Coturnix japonica: one gene and its partner. The protein of the gene in region 1 binds, or shares a complex with, the protein of each later gene. Links are inferred from orthologs where the notes say so. Each region holds a gene or a part of one and is shown in the gene's direction. Other genes may lie near its edges.

What was found.
Region 2: POLR2H (region 1) and GTF2H5 share a complex: the UniProt entries of both Homo sapiens proteins name them as parts of the TBP-based Pol II pre-initiation complex. The link is inferred for Coturnix japonica from reciprocal best matches to the Homo sapiens genes POLR2H and GTF2H5.

What each region holds. Positions count from the first base shown.
Region 1 is NC_029524.1:13,963,182-13,966,227, reverse strand, and holds POLR2H (DNA-directed RNA polymerases I, II, and III subunit RPABC3), read left to right. Parts: upstream 1-1,124; 5' UTR 1,125-1,188; coding exon 1,189-1,261; intron 1,262-1,370; coding exon 1,371-1,454; intron 1,455-1,531; coding exon 1,532-1,625; intron 1,626-1,750; coding exon 1,751-1,834; intron 1,835-1,950; coding exon 1,951-2,068; 3' UTR 2,069-2,469; downstream 2,470-3,046. UniProt on the Homo sapiens protein: DNA-dependent RNA polymerase catalyzes the transcription of DNA into RNA using the four ribonucleoside triphosphates as substrates.
Region 2 is NC_029518.1:46,900,682-46,904,431, forward strand, and holds the start of GTF2H5 (general transcription factor IIH subunit 5), read left to right. Parts: upstream 1-1,194; 5' UTR 1,195-1,294; exon of another isoform or gene 1,295-1,421; intron 1,422-1,559; 5' UTR 1,560-1,641; coding exon 1,642-1,676; intron 1,677-3,750. Other genes in the region: protein SERAC1, read right to left, coding at 1-70. UniProt on the Homo sapiens protein: Component of the general transcription and DNA repair factor IIH (TFIIH) core complex, which is involved in general and transcription-coupled nucleotide excision repair (NER) of damaged DNA and, when complexed to CAK, in RNA transcription by RNA polymerase II.

The sequences.
Region 1 (3,046 bases):
GCAGATAAGAGGGGCCGCGGCCGCCTCTGAAGCACCGCTCCCACCCCCGAGCCGGGCAGGCTTTGGGGAGAGGGCAGGGATTTAGGGTGCAGGATTTGGGGCTGCCCAACCACCCAGGTGCCGCCGTGGCTCTGCCACCTGCTCTGCCTCTGTGTGCAGACCCCATCCCCATCAGCCCTTCACTCCAAAGCCACGGCCCCATCTCCATCACCATCCCCCCCATCAGAGAGCACTGGAGGCTGTGTTGGCCCCCCAATGCTGCCCCACCGGATGGAGGCCTGGCCGCCGTTCAAAGCCGTGCTCATGTTGTATAATTTATCAGTGAAAGATAACAGCCCCACGGCTAAACCTCCCCACCCACACACAGCCCGGCACTGTGAGCAATGGGACTCCCAGCCTGGGGAGAGCCCACATGGAGGGACCCCCGGTGTGTCCTACTGTATGCTGGGATGCTTTGGGGTGCACCAAGGCAGAGCTGTGCCCCCCCCCCCCCCAAAATCCCTTCATATATCCCGGCGCACCGGGGGCTGCAGAGCACCTGGGGACGGTCTGTGGGATCCGTGCAGGTTGGGGGCGGGCTGAGGGCTGGTGCTGTGTGCTCTGAGCGGCACCAGGTGCCGGATGGGCTTGTTTGGCTCCAGATAAGGAGGAGACGGCGGCACCGGGCAGGTGCTATAGTGTGGGGGCTGCCCACCCCAACCTCGGCTCCTCGACCCCGGAGGTGCGGGGCCGCCAACCCGGGTCCCTCCGTGTCCCTCCGTGTCCCTCCGTGTCCCTCTGTACCAGCGCATCCCTCCGCTCACACAGCCCGGCCGCATTGAGCCCTTTGGGGAGGGGGCTGGCGGTAGGAGCTGGGTGTCACCGGGGATGTGACACGGAGGGAAGGTGACGCTGTGGGGTGTGACACGGGTGGGCTGTGGGGTGACGCTGCTGCCCCCCGCCCAGCTCCGAGCTCCGTCCCGCCGTGGATCTGCCCCGACCCACGCGGTTCGATCCGCGGCCGCGCAGCGCCCCCTACCGCCCCCTGCGCTGCAGTGCGCCCCCCCAGCCTGCAGGGGGCGCTGCCGGCGGCGCTAGGACCGCGCGGGCACCTCTGCCCGCCCACCACGAATGAGGTTTCCGGATGTGGAAACACGTCATCACCGTGCGCCGCAGCGGGAGCCGGCGCGGGAGCGAAGGGGCGCCGCCATGGCCGGCATTCTGTTCGAGGACATCTTCGATGTGAAGGACATCGACCCCGAGGGGAAGAAGTTCGACCGTGGTGAGATACGACCCCCCCGCTCCCCGCCCCTTCCTCCCACCCGGGGCTCCGAGGGCCGGGCCGGGTGCGGCGGGCCCTTCCCGTTGACGCCCCGTCCCGGCCCGCTCAGTGTCCCGGCTGCACTGCGAGAGCGAGTCGTTCAAGATGGATCTGATCCTGGACGTCAACATCCAGATCTACCCCGTGGATCTCGGTACGGGACGGGCGGGGAGGGGGGGGGGGGCAGCTCCGGCTGTGCGCTCTGAGCGCTGCTTTGTTATCGCCTCCCAGGGGACAAGTTCCGTCTGGTCATTGCCAGCACCCTGTATGAGGATGGGACGTTGGATGATGGGGAGTACAACCCCACTGATGACCGGCCCTCCAGGTAACGTGGCTCGCAGTGGTGGGAGAGACCCCTCCTACAAGGGGCCTCCTCGCAGAGGATGCTCTGTTAGGGGATGTGGGAAGGATGGTCTGACGCTTCTCTCAGCTCCCCTCATGTCATTGCAGGGCGGACCAGTTTGAGTACGTGATGTATGGCAAGGTGTACAGGATTGAGGGGGATGAGACGTCCACAGAGGCAGCCACACGCCTGTGAGTGGCTGTTGAGAAGGGGACGCGTTGCCTGAGGGTGGTGGGGAGGCAGCGTTATCTTGACTGGGTCTCCTATGGGTTTCCCTGCTCTCACTGCTCCTCTCCTCCTGCCCCAGCTCTGCTTATGTGTCCTATGGGGGGCTGCTCATGCGCCTTCAGGGAGACGCAAACAATCTGCATGGGTTTGAAGTGGACTCCAGAGTTTACCTGCTGATGAAGAAGTTGGCCTTCTAGGAGATGATGCACCTCAGAGGGCTGCCTGCCCCCAGAGACATTCTGTTGGAGAGCAGAAAGGACACCATCACCCCAAATCCTGCCCCAGCACCTTTGCTGCCCAGTCCCTCCAGTGGTGGTGGAGGAGGGGACTTTCCCCCTTTGTCATCCCAGTCTTTTCTGACTGTTTCCCTTCTGTGCAGGGGCTGATGCCTCATTCTCAGTGGAGACCGTGGGTGCTCTGTGGCCCTGCCTGCTGATCTCACCTTCCTGCACTTCAAAAGCAGGCTTAGCCCCAGCTCTAACCAGGGGCCGCTGGACTGGGGCACTCACCTGTCTGTGCTAGGGCTGGGCATCATTTTCTAAGGAGCTGTTCTGAGACAGATGTGGCTTCTTAATTAAACTGCTATGTGTTTTCTAGATGTGGTTGTTGTGGCAAGGTTGGCTTCCCAGAATGCCGGTTGGTAGATGAAGATGGGATGCTCATGGAGGATGTTGTGGTAGCAGACAGCAAAGGTACCACATCAGGGGCACTGGCTTTCAAGCTGCAGCTCCTGGAGGGGCTTGGCCTAGTCTGAGTGATGCTGTGTGACCCCAGAGCTCAGCACAGTGAAATTGGCAGGTGGATACTGGAAGGCAAGGGGCATTATTATCTCACATCCCCAGCTGAGCCCACCTGCCCTGCAGAGATGGCAGCCACCACAGGAGGGAGCTGGACACTGGGAAAATCAGGAGCGTTTGTTCCCCAGCTATTGCCTCCCCCAGAGACTGGTGTATGCTCCTTAGGCCAGTGCTACAGCAGGGGGAACAGGAAGACACAAACAATCCTTTAGAAAAATAGGTCTTTAATTGTAAAGCATTCACAGTCTGATAGGAGCAGGGCATGTGCCTCGTGCTGCACAGGTATGGCTGCTTTTGACCTCTGTGGGCCGTGTGATAGCCAAAGGCTTGTGGAAAAGGAGCCAACCCTTTCCCCGTGGCACCTTCCTGGGCATCCAG
Region 2 (3,750 bases), on another chromosome or scaffold:
GGTGTTTGGTGGCTGGGCCAGAAGTTCCTATTTGTCTACAGCAAAATATGCAGTAAGCAGCCACTGACATTCTGTATATTCAGAAAAAGAAAAAAATAAATAAATTGATTTGGCAATTACAACAGAAAACTTGTAGCCATGTTTCCCTTTTTACAGGAAAGGTTGTAAAGCATATTTATGTCATTTTGTGCGTTATAAAGCACTCTAAGTAAAAATTAAAAAGCCTATAAACTCCTGAATTTAGTAGTTTGCATTTTGGTTACAGCAAAAGTTTACAGAAAATCTTCATGCAATTACATATTTGTGCTAATACTGGTAAGTATCCATCTCTGACTACCTGCTCTGCTTTGAGGCAGAGGCATTTTTCTGTGATTCTTTACAGTGATTCTGTGATTCTTTACAGTGAGGGTGACGGAGCACTGGAACAGGCTGCCCAGGGAGGTGGTGGAGTCTCCTTCTCTGGAGATATTCAAGACCCACCTGAACGCCTTCCTGTGTGACATGGTGTAGGGAGCCTGCTTTGGCAGGGGGGTTGGACTCGATGATCTCTAGAGGTCCCTTCCAACCCCTACAATTCTGTGATTCTGTGTGAGGCCTTTTCCAATGTCTTAGTAATCCTCACTTAAACGCATCATGTTCACATGAAGACAGTGCTGAGTACAGCATATGACTTAGTAATTAGCTGTTCATAATTAATTTTATCTTAACACCCAAGTCTTGTATTTTGACTTAGCAGGCTCTAACAACTCATATACATTGTAGGCAAGTCAGATTTGGAAACGTTTGTCTTTTCTTGCTGACATACCCTGTAACATCACAGTTAATAAGGGATGTATTTTAGCATCTACAGATTGAGGTTCAATGAATGTACAGTTGTAGTGTTAAGCAATGAGGCATTTCAGGCCATGTGAAAGCACCGATTACTGTATGCACCAACTTTCTGCCCTGTCTCCTTTCAGCACTGCACTTATCCACTGACTTCATTTATTACATTTCTGATAAGCACGCTCTCCCTGCGGTCGCCTCCGCACAACTGGGGCAATGCCAGCGGCCAGCCCCACGCCAGGAGGGGCTTCAAGGCTGAGGTTTGACAAACACAATCATCGGACCACGGACAGACCCCATCCCTGGCCCCTCCTACTGCCCCGCCGCCATCCCCCTCTCTCCACAGCGCTACCCGTACCTTCCGCTTCCTATCTCCCTTCGCAGCCGGCACCGTCGCTCACGCACTCAACGTCATCACGCCGCACAGTGTCAGGAGGGCAATAGGAGGAGCGAGGGCTGCACTTGCGTAGTACGTGTATGTGGGGGCAGTGGTTGGGCTTGCTGGGCCGGAGCTACTCGTTCGCCGTCCTCGGTTTAACCTAGGGACGGGTTGGAGCCTGTCTGCCTTCGCCCCGGCCGCCTTTCGCAAGGCCACGGTTCGCACACGGCAACGGGAGGCTGGGCTGCTGTCGGAGGAGTGGGTGGGGGGATGGGGCATAGCCGCTCTGGGTGCTGGCGGGGCGAGGGGGGTCCTGGGTCGCTGAGTTCAACTAAAGCGTTTCTTTGTCTTACAGGTTTCATCTGCTGTTATCTGTAACCTCAAACAGGAGTCTTTGCTGCCACCCGCACCTTGCAGCGTTTGTGAGAGCTGCGAGGATGGTGAATGTTCTGAAGGGCGTCCTGATTGAATGGTTAGTGACAGCATCAGCATCTACTCAACTGTTTCTTTAGGACTGGAAATACTTTAGGTGCTTTTAAGAGTCTAGACCCAAAAATGTATTTGCTGTAAACTTCAGCCTGGAGAAGAGAAGGCTGCGGGGTGACTTTATTGCAGCCTTTCAATAACTGAAGGGAACCTACACCCAGGAGGGGAGTAAACTCTTCGAAAGGGCTGACAATAGCAGGACACGGGGCAATAGATCCAAGTTGAAGGAGGAAAGATTTAGGTTGGATGTTAGGGGGAAGTTCTTCACTAGGAGAGTGGTTACGCCCTAGAACAGGCTGCCCAGGGAGGTTGTGGATGCCCCGTCCTTGGAGGTGTTCAAGACCAGGTTGGACGGGGCCCTGGGCAACCTGATCTAGTAAATGTGTATGTTTGGTGGCCCTGCCAGGCAGGGGGGTTGGAACTACATGATCCTTGAGGTCCCTTCCAACCCGGGTCATTCTGTGATTCTGTGACACTGAGCAAACAGACAGATGAAAGGCATGGTTTTTAAGGGAAGAAGGAGAGAGACAGTTGTGGGTAATCTTAATTCCTGACTCATATTTTCAGATATGTTGTTTTCTGCTTAGACTTAACCATCATGTATTCATCTTGTTTGTTATATTGTAAATAATGTTAATTAGTTTTCATCCTGGGTGATGTGTTCTGATTCTAAAGGGAAATTTGTCCATGCTTCGTCTTTTGTTTTCTTTTTTTATCAATTCCAGTTCGCACACTCAAGGCTGGCTACTCTAAAATGAATATGCTCATAATTTCAGACAGTAAGCTGTTCATATCCGTGCAGTCCATTTGTTTCTATACAGTCTGAAGTCCCTAGACTAAGGTTCTGATAAGAATTACCTCCAGGTTAAAGAAAGTGTCACTCAAGGTTTGTGGAGTCATTATATATCATTACATTATGTACAGGATTTCTGCTGTATGTTTAAATTGTAAACATATTAACAGACTGTAACTGCATGAGTGCAGAACATCCTTCATGGTGCATACAGCTGTCTGCCTACTGTGGTTTACTTCTGAGCTGACTGGACATTAGCCAGCTCACATCTGAATGCCTCATAGTTTGGTATGAGCAGCTTGGAGCATGAATTCCACTATCACAAAAAGTTTCTCTGCTCCAATTTGGCTGCGTGCTACTATGCTGATAAACCTGAACGCAAGAAATGGCCTTCCTGCATTTTCTCAAGACACCCAAAGCAGAGTTGTTGACTAGCAAAACAAGAAATTCTAATATCTCAAGCAGACAGTACAGCCTTGTAGTTTTTTTGTAATTTATTTTACTTGCTCTGGAAGATTTGTGTGTTCCTGTACAATATTGTGATCATTTCCCATTTAGTATTAGCTTGAAACTTTATTATCCTCCCTGGAAGGAAATAGTTTGCCTGACAAGAAGTCTGTAGCATCTGTTATGCCATCAGAGTTTGAACAGCCCCTTGGGTAACTCACTTTTATGTTGGCTTTTCTAGCTGCTGGTTGCTTTCTTGTTTCCTTCTTGCCTTTGCATAATGGTAGCTGATGAGTCCATCCTGAGAGCAGATTACAAACCTGTCCCCTTGTTTACTTTTCAGATACCAATTTTTCACAACTCAGCTTTTCCAGGGCATCTTAGGTAAAAAGTCAGCAAGAAGTTTGGAAAAAATAAATACTTCTGAATGTGTTAAACATTAAAGTAAAACATTAAAATAAAACTATGAAATGCTGATAATATACAGATTTCTTCCTTCCCTCTGTATTATTCCAGTATATAGCTAAACTGTTCTGAGGACAAAATCTCAAGGATTATAATCTTCAAATGCTGAATAAGATCGGTGTTTCTGCTGTAACGTACATCTACTGGCACTGAGTGCACTCCTGTATGTTGATTATGTGAAAATATGTGTGTATTGCCTGACATATGCCTGGGCACACCAGCTTATGCTGTCTGGTACTCATAGTGTGTTGGTAAGGTACATCTGAAAGAAACAAGCAAAAATAAACCTCTGTGCACCCATAAAAAAGAGTGTGTGGAAGAAGACTGAGGACCACCCACTTTTGGTATCATTTTC